Drosophila melanogaster: one gene and its partner. The protein of the gene in region 1 interacts with the protein of each later gene in a pairwise test. Each region holds a gene or a part of one and is shown on either strand. Other genes may lie near its edges.

Evidence for each region. Proteins that work in one complex are often made in the same cells at the same time.
Region 2: the proteins of CG43736 (region 1) and disco interact in a two-hybrid assay, tested with the Drosophila melanogaster proteins (one large-scale study listed by BioGRID).

Annotation. Positions count from the first base shown.
Region 1 is NC_004354.4:6,865,329-6,872,946, forward strand, and holds the start of CG43736 (uncharacterized protein), read left to right. Parts: upstream 1-2,898; 5' UTR 2,899-3,452; intron 3,453-3,932; 5' UTR 3,933-4,061; coding exon 4,062-5,663; intron 5,664-7,387; coding exon 7,388-7,593; intron 7,594-7,618.
Region 2 is NC_004354.4:16,209,190-16,219,850, forward strand, and holds disco (disconnected), read right to left. Parts: upstream 7,562-10,661; 5' UTR 7,062-7,561; intron 4,156-7,061; 5' UTR 4,090-4,155; coding exon 2,383-4,089; 3' UTR 1,409-2,382; downstream 1-1,408. UniProt on the Drosophila melanogaster protein: Required for the establishment of stable connections between the larval optic nerves, the Bolwig's nerves, and their target cells in the brain during embryonic development.

The sequences.
Region 1 (7,618 bases):
AGAAGAGGAGAGGAAAGCAGGGCAGAAAAAAAGTGATGTGAGTGGGAAGATTGCGGTGGAAAGTACTGCGGGTGGTGGGCGTTGCGCGCTTGGGGGGAGCCGAGGTCGAACGGATGTCCGGTCCCCATTGATTGGCCAGAGTCCCCAATGAAAGGAGCAGTGAGTGGGGTAATTTTATAGAGGCAAAGAGATACGCAGCAAATCTGCATAATTTTAAGTTTGTGTTAAGAAACTATGTAGATGGTAGAACGACTTTCCCCATTAACGTTTGGTGGCACAAATGCATTTACAAGAAAATGTTAGAGAAAATTCCTGAAGCAACTCGCACAAAAATTGTAAATAGCCATTAGTCGCTGTCAAAGCCAAGACTGTTTAAAAAGTGTTTACACATCCAGCAGTATTAACAATATTACTAACGTAATTTTGGCAAAATTTAACCGTTTCTAAGCGGTAAGATCTCTTGTTCGTTTGTATTTTTGTATATTGCCACCATACATATGTATATACATACATACATATGTACATATATATGTACAAACATCATCAAGCTCGGTAAGCCCTCCTAGTTCTACTTCTTTGTGCAGCAAATATCGGTTTTCTGTTCCCTGCGCAATCGTGAAGCTTGCCAAAATCATAGCAAACGGCAGAGCCGACCATCCGCCTACCGCCCCAATCCCCCGTTTTGAGCCACCCAACGCCCAATCCAATATTTCCCATTGATGGTTAAACGAACGGTCTACATCCACGCATGCAAACATACATACATGTGTACGCCTAGATTCATACATGCAGACAGACGCACACATGCAGGCACATGTTTAGTCGTGTTTACATAGCAAAGCGCGCACGAAACGGGGCCTTTCGTAACGCTCGCTTCTCACGCTGTCTCCCTCTTTCTCCCCTTACCCAACCCCTCGCACTTACACCCTCTCTCTCTCACTCTCGTACACTCTTCGTTCGCATCGATGGCGACTGACGATGTCGAATGCGTATGCCCACCACTACAGATGCACATTTCGCACACTTTAACCGTTGCACATAGCCTCGTACATATAGATTTATGTATGTATATGTATATACATATATATCTATGTACATAGTTAAGCATATGACTAAATACGAATACCGCACTATTAGAAGGGGGTTTACATGGCCGTAGAGAAAAAAAAAACAAAAAACATCTTCCACACAAAGTACAAGAAATACCCAAACACACTCACGCACAGCTGACTAATTAGCAAAGCAAAACACCAAAAATCAAAACCCCCACTCAAAATCAAGAGAGATGCCACGAAACAGGGAGCCCGTAGAACGAAAGAATTAAAGAAAGCCACGCACTGGAGAGTCTCGTACCGTACAAACTAAAAAGCCCGGGAGACACCTGAAACCAAAGCCGAGAGATACCAATAAACTGCAGTGCCTTCCATTGACACTCGGCTTTTGAATACCCTAAAAACTGATTGGTGTACTTACGTACATTCATATATAAATTGCGTTTCGGTTTATATTGTGTAATCCTATTACACACATAAGCATATGATTGAATGAAAACAAGTAGAACCTTTAATAGGCTACAGTTGGTTCTAAATAAATTGAAGTGGACATTGCATTAAGTAAAATACATATCACAATGTGTTTTGGCGCAACTGTACGTTTAGTTTTCGGGACCAAATAACACCTGTTTTGATCTGACTGTACTTCGCGGGACTCGTTATTAACTGGCAGTTAACTTTTTAGCCCCGTATGATGGCGGCACAATGGAATTTGACTTGGACTCTTGGACCTGGCTAATTAAATTTTTTTTTTTGGTAAATGTTTAGAGTCGGGGCGACCTTTTGGAGCTGCGCCCGTTCGTGAACTCGTGTATTCGTTTGTTCGTGTTCGTGCTCGGTCGTTCCCGGTTTTCTCTGCCTTCTGGAACGGGGCCTGTCTTGAAAGCCGCAGAGCGCGCGAATACCGAAAACTTCTTGCATTCGACGGTGCGAAAGGGACGGGGAGAGTGATGGCATGTGGGAAAGGGAGAGGGCTAGAGCGAGGAGAGGTGGCCATCGAATGCTAAGCAGGGGCCTTTGCTTTTGCTTTTGGTGCTTGCCAAAAATAGAGCCGCCCCGCCACGCCTTCGCCCACAAAGAGCACCCACCCACCCACTCCCGCACAAAAGCAACAACATCATCATCACACCACCAATACCAAAACCAATACCAATACTGTGACCCAGCCAGCTCTCTGTGAACATGTGTCAGTGTGTGTGGGTCTTGTATATAGCATAGCTTAAGCTTTCCTTGTACCGTGGTTCAAATGCCAGGGGAAAATGGCATTATTATATTCTTATAGAGAAATAATATATACAAATAAATTTGTACAACTGTATGTAAAGAGTAAACATGTAACAAGGAAACACTAATTTTAAAGTAAATTTAGCTAGTTTGCATTATTTTTTACACCATTTATATGAGTAAGCCACAAAGAAGCTTGCCTTTTTTGATCTGCTTGATTCCCAGATGGTGTTACTAAAAAATAATGCGAATTTGAGAGAAAGTTTAACAATAAAAAGTTCAAATTCGAGATACATATGTGTAGAGTATTTAAAGAACTTAATTGTGAGGTTAAATATTCAACAAATGGTAAACTTGTAATCCCATAAATTCGTATTATTTTATAAAATTTTACTTTCATACTGAATTGGCTAAGATCCCTTAATTAATTTCCATAAGTTGCTTATGTCTTAACCACTGTGGGTTGTAACTCTGCAGCTACGTTGACGTCGGCGTCGCAGCTTAGAGCTAGTCGATGAGCGGAAGGAGAGAGAGAGAGCAGGCGTTCGTCGAGGAGGGGGCTAGCCGAATAGGGTGAGAGAGAGCGATGGCAGAGTAGGAAAATGCATAAGAAGGGGGGTGGGGGCGCAAAAGGGAGACGGACAGCAGCAACAACAATTCGGCAAAATGTTCGTGGCAGCGTTGCAGCGACGCCGACTGCGCTACGGGTGTTTGTTTTTTTCTCTTTCGTGTTTTCCGTTTTTCTTTTGCGCTCTGCATCCGCTGCCGCAGTAGGCGTCGCTGCCGGCGCGCTGCGCCAGTGTGGGTGAGCGCACGGCTGTAGGTTTGTGTGTGTGCCGTACACATTTTTCAGTTGACTTCGTTGAAATAATTTTCGTAACAACGATCACACTCGTTTGTGTATTGCGAAGACGGGCGGACGTGCGTCGGCGTCGAATGCGGAACAAGCGCTAAAGCAAACTAGCGAAAAAGTGCGAATATCAAAAGAAAAGAGAACCAAACAAATTGTTTTTTTTTTTCACCACGAGCGTCGTCGCAAAAACAACAAAAAGGAATTTAATAAACCAAAAGCAAACGAGGAGAGAGAAAGCAGCAACTAAATATAACAACAAATGCATTAAATAGTTTTGTTTTTTTTTTTGCCACACTGCCAAAATGCAGTTAGCGTTTGTTTGTGTAAGTGTACCACATGCATACATAATGTATAATTTATATGCCAAAAACAACAACAGCAATAGCATTGTGTGCAAAATGTTGAAATGAGCTCGAAAAACAACAAAAATAAGTGCGCGCATTAACACACGCACACTTGCAAAGGAAAACATCTAAAAAAATTATCACGTGTGTGTGTGTGTGTGTGTGTGTGTGAGACAGCCGGTCAGTGTGACCGTTTGTGTGCCAGAAAGAGAAGGATCGAACAAGCCGGCTGTTTATTTCTTTTATAGTTCTGTTTAAATAACAAATACACTTGCCAAAAGAATTTCATTTTGATGTGTGAATAATTAAAAAAATCAGTAAGACATAATGCAGTCTTTGTTAAATATATATTGACATATATGAGCATATATATAAATACATACACAAATAACATATCAAATTGAAATGCTGGCAGTACCAATCGAACTGTCATCCTAACAAGTAAATTTTTCAATACAGCTCCTAATATAAAACCAAACCAAAAGTGTGGATATCGAAAAGTCTGGAAAAGTACGATAACGCAAGATTACATAGAGCGCGAGCAAGACAGCATTCTAGAGCAAAAGAGCGAGAGTGTGCGGAGGAGCGATGGCCAGCGAGGATGTGCAGATCACTAGCGTCATCGATGCCAATGGCCAGAGCCTACCGCTCCACGGCAACAGTTTGGGCGGTCCCCTGGGACCGCCCGTCAAGCAGGAGCGTCCCGATGACGCCGAGATCCGCGAACTAGCTGCCAAAATGAAGGAGCAGCAGAAGCAACAGGCCGCCCAGCAGGCATCCCGTCAAGCGGCCATGCAGCACTCGAATGGGGGCGCCATTGCGGCATCCTCGGCCGGTGGCAACATGCAGCCGCCGATCACAAATGGCAATGGCCAGACCAATATCATGAACTACCTATCTCGTCATCAGAAACTACCCAACGGCACCATGCAGGTGGTGCCCGCCTTGGCCTCCAATGGCCGCTCGAATGGAGCCGTCAGCGACTCCGGCTCGGACAAGAAGTCCTCCACGGGACCCTGCGACGAGGAGTCCATTCAAGGCCACTTCGGCTGGGCTCAGTTCGGCAAGGTATCCATACCGTACATCTATCGCCAATCGGAGAAGTACTGCTCCGTGCGCATGATCGAACTGAAACTGCTGGGCAAATACCTTAACTGCCTGCATCCGGATATCTACTCCAGCTGCACCTGCGTGCGCAGCTACTACATCACCGATGCGGAGGCCCGTCTCTTCATCGAGATTAATCATAAGCATTGTGACGGCGAGTTCGGTCGCGACATCTTCAACCAAAAGGATTTGGTGGTGCGTCTCAGTGACGCATCCAAGTTCTATCAGTTCCTGGATATTTGCTATAGGAAACTAGTCTCCGGCAGCAAGACGCCGTCGGAGAAGTGCGGCTTTATTCGCATCAACAAGGAGTCCGTGGTGCCCTACACTGTGCGCAACAATCAGCAGGTTGTGCCGCTCTTTTATTTTGAGGGCGAGACCGAGAATCTAAAGACCAAAGCGGAGCTGCTCAATGGCTGGGACCTGGCTTATCTAAAGTTCTGCTGCAAGGTGCAGGGCATACGCAATGAGCTCTTCTCCAGCGAGAACGTGGCCGTGATTTCGCTGACGGACATCAAAAGCTACTTCCCAAATGGCACCGAATTCGAGGACTACTGGCCCAGCAAGGTGGTTGACTCCAATCTGCTCATTGGCAATCGGGCCAATGTCAACAACTCGGTCAATTGGACCCGTCAACCCTCGGCGCCGCCTCCAAAAGTGACCACCTCCGTTTCCGGATCGTCCGGCCCTTCCTCCTCCAGCGGCGGCAACATGGGCCAGAACACATCAGCCGCATCATCCTCCGCGAACACCGCTGGTGGCCAACAGGTGACCTCAAAATCTCAGCAACAGCACGCTGCCTCTGCCGCCGCAGCAGCGGCGACGGCGCATCAACAGCATCTGATGAAGCAACGCGCCGCCGCAGCAGCAGCTGCCGCCGGCGCCAATGGTGTGGCGAATGCGGCAAATAGTTTTGGGGCAGCCGCGGTAGCGGCCTTCAATTCCCAGGCGGCGGCAGCGGCGTCGATGCTCCAGCAGTCGCAGGGCAACAACAGGATGTTATCGCAGGCCACCGTCCAGGCTTTGGCCAGCAGCGGATGGATGTCCGGACAGACAAACCTGCAGCTCCACGCCCAGATGATGGTGAGTTGAGCACTAGGCTAGCTAACGTTTTCCTCCAATTAATGCACAATGTTTATCAAACTTTGGGATATCAAAGCTATTAGCAAAGTTTGAGAAGTAATGCCCAATCGTAATCTGGAATATAATATCAACGTTGCTATGGTATCATTTATTATACCCCAGCTACTGAACAATATTATAGATACAAGATTCTTTACACTCAACCGAATTATCGTTTTTCAAGCCTTATCTAGAAATTCGAGCCTACTTTAGAGTAATGCGAGTCGGTGTTTATGCAATGTTTGTGATATACATTAATCCAGCTCATTTGTGAATTGGCATTTTATTTTATTTCGTAAAATTGTAAATGGATACTTATTTATCACTAAGAGCTACTATTTTATACTAGAATCCTTCGGCTCAAAATCGAAATGAATGACATTTCCGGTACTTAATTGGTTTAACAAATTGTCTACCACTCCATACATTAGTAATGTCACACCCAATGTTAAATTACTTCTATTTTAATGGTATAGTATATTATAAAGTTCAAAAATGAACTGCTTAGAATGGCATTTAAAACTAGTTATTTGACTACCATTGATATAGAAAATCCAGGCCCGACTTTGGTGGAGACCAGTTCGAAAAAGGTGGAAATGGGATGTATTGGGGGTATTTTGGATGTATATGTGTGCGTACGGAGGGATTTCTCTAGAGAGTGCATGGCCGTGTTTTGTTGGCCTTGCTTGTAATGATACACAAACTTACATATGCTAGGCAGTACATATGTACATCGTACACATATATAAATCGCTGTTTGTGTTAGCGTGCTTTTTTTTTCTAGCTGATTTTTTCGCAGTTTGGCAACAGCGCAGCAGCAGCGTTCGACGGCATCAAAAACTAGGTCACCAGTATAGTGTGCATAGGAGAGTGGCTCCATCTCCCTCTATGCCCATCCCCATCTCTTTCCCCCCACTGGTGCCCTCTCTTCCCTCTTTGGGATGTGCATATGAGTGTGTGTGTGTGTGTGTGTGTGCTGGCCACAACCTGTTGATGTTGCTGCTGTTGTTGCTGCCACTACAGTCGAACTTCTATAAAGTAAACTTCCTTTCTCACGAAAGAAAGATGTTTGTTTTACAAACATTTCACCATAAATTAATTATAAATTCATAAATTTATAATTAATTAAAATTCATGTGTGTTTGAAATATTCTTAATATATCTAGAACTTGAGGAATTTGTTGTGACCTTCAAAATTAAAATCGGCCTCTAACACATAAAACGTAAACAAAAAAAAAAAAGAAATACAAGCCGTCTAGATACTCGCTATGCGTAATGGCAATCTTATCAAATCGGAGACCTAAAAACGTAGTTCTAATCGCCTACGAAATCGTTCACATAGCACAAAAAGTCTTTAAGCGTCTAATAGTCGCAATTTATTAATCGATTGTTGTTGCTGAACTAATTTGCAGTGCCAATAACTTCCGCCTTCTTTGCATTCATAATTGTTAATTATGCACAACAATTCGCCATAATTGCACACATGGTAAAGTAGGTCATCACAACGATTAACTAGTGGGTTATATTAAATTAACAAATCAAGAGCAAAAAGGATGTAAACATGTAGTTCCATTGAGTTAGTTTACTTTAGTTTAGTTTTTCAAAAATGTCAACCCTTTTTCAAGTGTTCTTCATAGCGAGTTTTTTCCTAATTCTCTTCTGCCTTCCTATCTTTTTTTTTTTAGGCGCAGCAAACGCATGCGAACGCCAATCGCGTGGGAAGCTATCGGGAGCACATGAACAACCTGATGATGAGCGGCAGCAGCCGGCAGCCGTATTCCTACAACAACCCCGCGATCTCCATGTCCTCGGTGAACAACCATAGTGGTGGCGGCGGGAATGCCCCACCTCCGCTCGTCCGCTCGGCGGCAGGTCAAAATGCCAACCACATGTAAGTGGAACGATTGTTTTAAATC
Region 2 (10,661 bases), 9.3 Mb from region 1:
ATCCATGTGGATGCGATTGTGGATGTGTGGGCACGGGCACGGGCACCATTCTCCACATGAATGTGGAATTTTGGGCTCGGATTTTGTGGGCACACCGACAGCAATGATATCTTAAGCGTTCTGAATAATAGTTTGTGAATAATGGTACAACTAAAAGTCGGGGGAGTCGTAAAATACAAACAATCGTGGAGTTTTTTGCATAACGAACGACTGAACTACAATTTTTACGATTGCATTCCGATTTATTTGGTATGTAAAAATCGAATGGGACAATATTGAAACAAGGCGTACAATATGTATGTACATATGTGTTCTTTGATCTCAAAAAGCATTCTTTGGCCATTATAGAGCTACACTCGACCCCATTTTGACCAGGCCAGTAATTAGTCGCTTTAAAGTAAGCCGTGTCCGAAGTGATTGGGAAAATAAAGCAGAGAATATTGTGGAAGCGGTGTTAATATCGTTGCGTGTTTCATAGAATCGTAAATATGTGCGAGTGGCGGACGAGAATGTGAGATTCCTACAGCCGTCTACTTAGGGTCTTTCTATTTGGCCACTTACACTACAGACTATGTATCTGTATCTGCATATATGTACATATATTTGTATCTATATTGGTGTGCGTGCGCCTGAGTGTGTAATCCGTCCATAAGTGGCCTCAAATGCCTATCCATAATGATGATGATGATGTGGTTGCCGCTGCGACCAATAGTTGGTCATTCATCACGACGATTCGCGGGGGGAGTACGATATGTACAAGTATTGGATGGAGTATAGGAATATGGTATGGTATGGCATGGTATGGTATGGCATGGTATGGTTTGGTTTGGTATGGTATGGTATGGTTCGGAACCGTAAAGTATGGTTTCGGTATGGTATGCTATGCTATAGTTGCGGAGCCGAAAACCAATTTATGCCGCATGTCACGCCTTCTTGTGAGTGTCCGTCGGCATTTCGGATACTCATTTGTGCAAACGGGAGGGACAGACCATTTCGAGGGCGTTGCCCATTATAGATCTCATCAGACCAATACTATATACATTTGAATCTGGATTCGTTGAGACAAGCAAATATGTACGTGTGCTTTTCGCAGGCGAGAAGAGCTAGCTTGACTTGTGATTGTGATCCAAATGAGTTACGCACATCGGTCTATTTACGTAAAAACATTACTAAATGATTTAAGGTGGGCAGTAATATATCTGAATTAAATGGCATTTAACGAAAATAGCAATTTTTTGTAGATATTTTCCACTGGACTTTATATCTTTCGAATGGAAAAACAAAATCCGCATAAAATCGATGACTCATCTATATTATTCACATAAAGTACATATGCTCTATTTTCATAGTGAAAACATGAAAATTATGTATCCGCCCAGAGAACCAATAAAAAAAAGCATCTTTGATTACATGTTTCTTCAATTTTGCCGTTGTTTATTTGTTAATAAAAAACTTAAAATCTTGTTGTAATACAGTACACAATCGTCGGGAGGAATTTTCGTTTGCGATAGCAATAACATTTTCGTTCACCTACGATCTATCAACCTTTGCGATGGATTTTTATAATTTTGTTTTTTTTTTTTTGGGTTTATTTTTTTTCTTTAGGGATTGGTTGAATTGAATCTCTTCTGGTTTTTTATTTTTTTAACACACGGGGGGGATATGTTTCAATAGAATTTGCTTGCTGTGTTAGTACATCCAAGTTATACAATACAATATAGTTTTATTGGCTACGAAAAAAATTGTCTTAAAACTATTTAATATATGCCATTCATAATATATATTTCGTTATAAATATCAATACTTCGTTGTACACCGATAGAGGGGGCAGGGAAACGGAACCCGTTCCAAAATCCCCGCTTCTGCACTGCCCAGCCCGCTTTTCAGATGACAGACTTTAATTTTTTTTTTTTTTTGGATCCGATCCTGGGATCCCACACACACACACACACACACTCTCATTCATGCATCTGCACATTCACACTGAGGAACGGATTGAATACTATACACTTAGATGTCGCACTACAGTATACATTATACATTATACATAGGTTTCCAAAAAAAAAAAAAATCCATATAACACATGTACGAGCAGAAAAAGCTTAGTTTCGGAGCAATTCCAGTTTTCAGAGGGGGGGGTGGGGTACTTAGTGGCATTGGTTGCGGGTGTTGCGGGGTCGCGCCTGAGGAGGAGTGCCAGCCATTTAATGGTCAAGCTGTGGCACAGCCCCACCACCTGAAGCTCCACCTTTTTGTGTAATGCAGCACGCCACCAAATGTATTCTTCTTAAAATACGATTCACACACAAAAAAAAAATATAAAAACAAATTTGACTAAGGAAATCATCTAGAAATCATCGCCATGGATCAGCAGTCTGGACATTAGACGGAAATCGGCGCATTCGTGGCCGCCGGCGATTGCTGTTGCGGCTGCTGTTGGTGGTGCTGATGGTGATGATGGTGGTGGTGACCCATGTGGTGATGACCCAGATGATGGTGCTGCTCCTGATGGTGGTGGCTCAGGGTCAGATGATGATGCTGCTCCTGCTGGTGTTGCTGCTGCAGCTGGTGATGGTGGTTGTATTGCTGGTGCTGTGTCTTCAGCAGCATGGAGCGGTACATTTCGGAGAGGAGACTCCACATGGGCGGCGAGTCCTTGGCCAGATCCACGGGTGATCCCGCCGGCAGGAAGGCGGTGGGCGGTGCCTGGCTGGTGGCAGCGGCAGCCGCTGCGGCGGCAAACATCTGGGTCTGCAGCAGGCGCAGATGATGATGCTCCTCGAGGTCCAGAACGGGCAGTGGGAGCATTTGCCGCCGGCTGGTCATGTAGGCACTGTCGCTATCCGGGTCCAGATCCATTTTGATGCTCGTCTGTGGTGGATTGGCGCTAGCGCTGGCGGAGGAACTAGAGGCGGAGGAGGCGGCTGCCGTGGAACAGGCGGAGCTGGAGGCGGTGCTGTCGTGACGCTTACGCTTGCCCAGCAACTGATCCATGGAGAAGGCATCGCTGGGCGAGCGCTTCTCACGCTCCAGCTCATGCTCCTGTTCGGGTTCGTGCTCCTTGTCGGATTCCACATCCTGTTCCTGCTCCTTTTCCGCCTCCCGCTCCCGTTCCTGCTCCTGCTCCTGCTCCTGTTCCCGATCCTGCTCCGACTTGCGACGCTTGTGAAGGCTGAAATCCAATGGCTGGTCAGCTGCCCGCTCCTCATCGGCGGCAATGCTACTACTGCTGGCCAGGCTCAAGCTGCAGTGCATCTCCTCATCCTGCTCATTATCCCGTTCGTGTTCCTCCTGATCCTCGCTGGAGGCCGCCGGACTAGAGCTATTGGCCTGCATGTCCACGTACACAAAGTCGTTGTCATCTTCGGGATCAGCATCCTGTTCATTGTCCACCGATCCAGAATCGGGATCCTGACAGCCGGTGGAAAGCAGGCCCAAGCCATGTAGACCCGCCTGTCCGCCGAACATGACGTACGGATGGTGACCATGATGCGGCGGCGGCGGTGGCAGAAGTCCGGGAAAGGCAACCGGAAGTCGTCCGGCGACAGCGGCCGCTGCTGCGGCTGTTCCGGGCGAGAAAACCGGAAACTGCTGGGCAGTGCGGCCATCGTGCGGCGAGATCTTGCGCCGGATGTGTGGCGAATGGAGTTTGGGATTCGGATTGGCGCTATGGCGATTCCTCGAACGCCTCGAACTGAACACCATATTGCAGCCCTCCACCGTGCACTTGTGCATCTCGCGAAGATGCACGGCCGAAAAGTGAATCTTAAGGGCGCCCTTGTCGCAGAAGGTCTTGAAGCAAATGGAGCACTGTACTCGTTTCTTTCCCGTGGCTGGATTGATAAACTGACCGGCCAGATTGATGGGCGGTGAGCCCCAGCGACGAGGCTTTAAGGATGAACCTGATCCAGTGCCCGATCCCGCTGCCGATCCCGATCCAGAGCCACTGGATCCGCCGGGTGAGCTGGCCGGAGAGGCGGCATTTGGCTGCGGGTGTGACGGTAGATGGGAGTGCACATGCTGGTGGGAATGTGGGCCATGGCCCAGCAGATAAGCCGGTGACATGAACGGATTCATTATGTGCTCCATGTCGTCTGTGGTGGATTTTGTTTCTATGGTCGCGCTGGCGATGGCGATGGCGATGACTGGTGGTGCCTGGAAAACAAACAAGAAACAGAAACGAATCGTTAGGAGTGTCAATCAGGGAGTGTCAATCAGGAAGTCAGTGAATCGGTCAGTCCTAATCGAAAACTATTGCCAGGGTTGCGGGGCAAATCCGATTGCGCAACTACAACTGGGAAACTGGAATCAACCTTATCGCCGAGAGTCAGCAGGGCAAATTGTTGAATGGTCTGTGGTGCCGGGGACATGGACATTGACTCCTGGACCTGGGACATTGGGCAGTGGTCATTGATGCGCAATTAGAGTGCGAAAAGTCAAGACGGTCGAATAAGTCAAGGGGAGAAAACTTTATTTTGGGGGGGGGTCTCAATTAATCAGTGGATTACAGCGATTAGTTGGTCATTGCTGTAAGATACATTCTGAAATCCAGATTTAAAAGAAAGTCTTTAAGGCTGCCAGCTGTGTGCTTCAAAAAAAAAAAAACCCCATTGCTGTTCAAATGGCTTTTTCATTAATTAATATTCGATATCCTTAAGATATAGATTAATATCTGAGGCGAATGTATATGTACATATGACTGCATTGCCACGCCAAAAGCACTAATCTATAGCATTGGAAAGCGCTCTAAAGTCATATCTCAAGTGTATTACCGAAATTCCCAAGTGAAAGCTTCCAAGGAGCTTAGCCAACTTTGTGCAAATCCAGCTAGATTTATTGGTAAGACACACACTGCTTACAATAACTCAGACAAGCGAACATTTATATCGGCGACACCGATGGCGGCATATCTTTCATGTCGAGCCGATAGTACAGTAGAACAACTAGAGTTGCCATGTTTTGTATTTTGAAATAATCAAAAGGGGTATCCCAGTGACTGACGCTACATCATTTGTTTAATCTTTATCATTTTGGTTCCTATGCACCCAATTTCTGTCGTAGCCAAGGCCCACTGTACACTAACACTGGCGCATTACTTGTGTAAGTGCACATTGCCTCATTTACTCGAGCGAAATCTTTTACAGCTTTTTCGGTTCTTCTGGCCATTAAAATCGCCTCTGACAACGTCGACGGCGACGACAACATGCGGCGATCAGTGTCGGACTTCGACTTTGGATCCGATCGGTCGGAGTTAAAGCCAAAACCAAAACCAAAAGCAAAGCTAAAGCCAGAGCTAGCTCATTTTTTTTATTGTGGACTCCGTTCGCTACCGTAATTGTGAGCAGTCGACTTGACGTTAAAAACAGAAACAAATCAGGGGTAAAAAAAAAAAAAAAGAAGTGAACCGAACCCAGGGGCGTCACAAAACTGGGGACAATTGCGGTGAGATGCGGATGACGATGGTGATGATCGTGTGTGCGATGTCGTGGCTGGCTATCTGGATTCGATCTCAAAAGTCGAACACACATTCGCATTCGCTTGCCCAATGCCAGCTAAAAAGTTAAGCCGAAAACCACATACGACTATGGCTCACACATACAGGCATACAGGTAACACGCACACAGTTGCAGGAAGCCAGGAGATGGTCGCTTTTTATGGGGCTCATTAGTAACGATGACAACAATAGCATTAAAATGAGTGTATGTACACACGGCGAAAATGCGAAAGCGCAAGAAAAAAAAAAGAAGAGCAAAAAGGGGGGAAAAAAAACTTAATTGTCAGGTACTTGGAAGTAATCAGTTTCTGACTAGGTGCCGAAAATATTGTTACCATTCAAGAAATAGAGAATGACCCAAAGATGTTGCAATAATTTTCTAGATCATTATAAGTTAACTATATCATATGAGTTGAAGGTGCCTATACCTTTTTATCTTCCAAGAATCTTTTAAAAAAGAGATTCAACTCAAAAAAAAATATAGATCTTTTAACATTTCAATATAAAACAATTCAAGATCTAAGCATCATAACAATCTTGCATAGCACAATAAGGCGCAACGGAAAACAATAACAACCTCTCTATTTTCTCTCAGTGCACGCGGTCGACAGATCGAGGTGAGTATGCATGTACATGGGTAATTATTTTTGTCAAACGCTTAAAATGTCTTAAGCCACCGATGGTGAAAGGGGGGGTGATGTTGGGCAGCTGGGGGTAGGGGAAAAACCAATCACAACTTTTGATGGCTCTCGGACGAAACGTTTTTTGATTATCGGCAGTGGCAAAGGCAGCAAAATGTTGAAAGTACCCAAGACAAGAAACGACAAGATTGAAGAATTCCGAGAGTTGGGAGACGCTTTAGATGGTAGATGGTAGATCCAAGATCTGTGGAGTACGGTGTGTGGCAGTTGGGGATGGAAGATGCCGAGATGTGAGCAATCCGGCGGCTATAATTGCTGTTGTAGTTGCTGTTAATAGTAGTACATTATAATAAGCAGGAGTCGATGGGCACAAGGGGCATGCAAGGGGCATGCGATGGTCCAAAGATGACAACGCCGATGGTCCGGACATCAACGAGAAAAACAGAGCTCGAAAACCGCAGACAAAAATCTTAATTACAACTTTGACATTTGGCGTTTCCCCCGAAGACATCACTTTTTTGTCGTCGAAGCTCACGCAGCAAATAGACAAAAATGGGTTTACGAACATTGGATTAACAAGCTGTTTTCAATTTAGCAAAGTCAGGATATTATAAGAAAATCCATAGACTAGAGGTAAAAGATGGCAGCACATCACCAGAGATCCCATGAAAATGGTAATACCATATTAATGCCACTAGCAGCCTATGTGATCCTAACAAGATCATTATTTACCACGAAAAGAATCCTATTGTTGCGTTCCTATTTCATAACACAATTCTTGAATGGGTAATATTTTTATGGCACCAGGATTTCTTTTTAGAAAATACTCCTCTGATCTCGAAAAATATTCACTATGACTTCACTTGAATTTGAATTCTTTGCTTGAAGTGCCGACGGCAAATCAACTTTACTCGAACTATACATACCTTTTGCTAATTTAGCAGCGAGTTGTAGATATTTTATTGTATTTTGGTTTATTGCTGTTTTTTTTTTTTGTTTTAGATTTTCTCACTTTGTCACAGGTTTGAGATTTAAAAAAAGGGTTTCTTTCGCTTTGTTTTGTTTTGATATTTTGTTGCGTAAAAAGTTGATAAATTCAGATGGTAGAATTCACTGTTGGAGCTGTGTGCTGTTGTTGTTTTCATGCCCGTGGTGCATTTATTTTTGTTGCATTTTGCTGAGATATTAAAAAAGTTGGTCGTTCACAGTTGACGATGACACACACACACACACACACACGCTCGTATGCACGCACACTTATGCACTGGGTCGCGCGGCAGAGAGAAGAGTGGACTGGACGCGAATATGCGGATGCGAATATGTGAATATGCGGAGTGGCAAACGAAGTAGCGACGAAGATGCGGATGTGCGGAGAGCAGGGACAGCAGAGATCCACTTCTTCGAATGTCGTGGGTGACACTGATTGTCGATTTGTCGTTTCACCAACGAATTTGTGCGGCGACTGCGACGCCGGCAGCGCAGCGGGCAGAGAGCGAGCGACAAATGCGGCGACACCGACACCGACACACCGACTGACTGACACAAACACACACGCACACGCGGGGTGGGTGACATTTGGCTCTCTCTCGCTCGCTCTCCCGCTCGCTCTTGCGCCCTCTCTCTTTCACTCTTTCGCTCTTGCACCTGGAAGAGTGTGAGAGAGCGCGCTATTGGAATTGGCCTTCGTCACATTGTCGTCGATGGGTCATTAGGCACTCGCCCGAGTGCGAGCGAGAGATCCGCCCGCACTTGAGTCCATCCCGCTCGCCCAGTCGGCAAAGCAGTGCGAGGCAAGAGTAGCCACCACTCTCTTACTCACGCCGCGAAAGAGCGCCGTCCCGTGCGTGCGAGCGGCTTGGCACGCTCGTGCGGCTATCTCGCGCCCGCTCGCACACTGTCGTCTGAGTGGACGAAACCGTTTCGTTGGGTTGACACATGCGACATGCGACGTGTGTGTGTGTGGTCAGTGCGGCACACACATTCACACGCACTGCCGCCAGCCAAAGAGAACGCAGCGCTCGCTCTCGCCGCTTGCTGGTATGGGTGCCTTGGGTTCGATGGTGTGAGTACATGGCCGGGCACTATAGTGTGACAGAGCGAGAGAGAGGGAGCCGGAGCACAAGAGCGCAAGAGGGAGAGAGCAACGAGAGTGAAATGGCAATGGCCACAGTATACAGTACACAGTACGTAATTTGTCGCTGCTGCGACGTCACTTTTTGTCTTGGGCTTCTCCTCTCTGCTTCTCTTCACGAAGGTTCTTTTGAAATTTTTGTCATTTGATGTCTTGTCCACTCGGTGCTGTGCCCTCTCGCCGTCCCTATCGCACCCGCACGAATGGCCGCGTTGAGCGGCTCTCTTTGTTTTGCGATTGCGCTGTGCATCTGTATGGGTGTGTGTGTGGGTGCGAATGTCGCTGTATAGGTGTATCTGTGTATGGGTGACACTTTGGCAATGGGGGCGATTCGCTTCGATTTTTTTTCCCTGTCGCCACACAGCACCAATGGAATTCGAGCACTGGTGACAAAGAAGCGACGCTGCTGCTTCCTCTTTCCACCCCACACCCCTACCGCAGTCCCTCAACGATCCTATCACCATGACCGCCCCCACCACCACTATATATGTATGTACATATGTATGCATGTATAACTTATGTAAATTGCACAGCTTCGGTATGTAAGTGCCTTATGTGATAGCAGCACCTACACACATATACACAGCTCCTTGTCGTTTCATTGTCCTTTTCATTGCCGAATTAAAATAATTCTCACCCACACTCCCACACAGTATATGTATGTATTTGCTAGACGCCGGAATGTCCCACATAAGGATACAAAAGCACACATACATATTTGGCCACATTTGTTCTTCAATTTATCCACACAAGTGTCCGAGAAAAGTTCTTAAAGCGAAAAAAAACCGTACGGAACAAATCCTATTTGCATTAATCACCATAAAAAAATATAACAATAAGGACCGCATTATTATGTTGCATACCCACAAGGCGTTAGCATCAATGTTGGACTTCCAGGAAATGGTCAGGACTTAATAAAAAGCACTCTCTTAACATTCAATATCTTTAAGTATTACATATCATACCATACGTTTAAATGGTATATAAGGTTCTAACTAAAATTCATTCAAGTAAGTTTACTTACTACTTATAAACCAAACCCAAATCAGTTTCTTGTTAACCTAAAGCTTTAAGCTTTAAGGCTTCTCAAATACAATGCATCACTCATTCAATTAGTTGTTTCTTATTTAGCTTTCGTAATCGCGTAATCGCAAGTACCTTTGCAGAAACATTAATTGTTCTAAATATATAAATAACACAATTTATTCACTGTTGTTTTCCTAAAAACTATGTTTACTTCAATTTTTAATCTGAAGGTGGGAATAAATCCTCCAAACCCAAACTATAATTCTTTCAGATAAACAGATTTATCTGAAACTTAAAAGCACCATAATTCCACTTTAAAATGTGATGTGAAAATTAATGATTATAATTAGATGTGTTGTGAAAATCATTTTTCAACGAAGTTTTTACAGAATGTACCATCAATTTAAGTGACAAGTGCAGCAACCTTTATGCTGCCTCGATTCTATTCAACAAGGTGTCCTCAAATTGCTTGATTTGAGAATAATATCTGATAATATTAATGTGTGGAGTGCCTTTATAATCGATTCCCCATTGCTGAGTGTCACTTTTCAATTCGGCGCCGCCAACTGGCCTTTGTGAATTGATTGATGTGAGTTCGAAGGTGAAAAGTCAATCCTCGAAGGTTTTTTTTTTAATATTGTTTGGAACGAATGGAAATATCTTCTCTGGGGTCATCTCGATGTCGCCCCCCCATTTTTTTTTTTTTCATGTTGGACAGTGCTAGTCAACACTTTCGTTTTTCCTTTCTCTTCTATTGTGTAGCGAAATGGTTTCATTAATCAAAAATTTGGAGAAATAAATGCTCGTTTCTTTCGATTTATTTCGGCCCCCTGCCAGATTTGATAAATAATTGCTATCTTATTATGTCGATTGTCGTTGCTGTCGCCGCTGGAATCAAAATTCAGGGACTTCAGAGTCCCACAGATCCACTGTCACCGGGCTAAAGTCAAGAACAAGATACTGAATCGGAATCGGGCACAAAGTTCTTTATTAACACGGGAATAGCACGGCACCCTTTGTGCACGAACACCAAAATCGAAACGTAATCGAGGTCCGAGATCCGAGACGAAATCGATCAATCATTTTTCACACTTTGTCGTCCAGGTTCTCATTCTCCATCCCATTGCCATTACGATTACCATTACCATTCTCCGTCCTCTATCCTCTATCCTCATTCCCATACCCATACCCATACCCATCCAGATCGAACCATCAAGTGGAGGCCCTGTGGATTACAAAGATCCAACGACTATATGTATATATATATATATATATTCGTACATCTCATCTCTTTCTCGCCGCGTACTTGACTTCAGGTCAATAAATCGTTTCAGATTTTTTGTTTCGGTTCTCTTTCCTCTGATTTCTT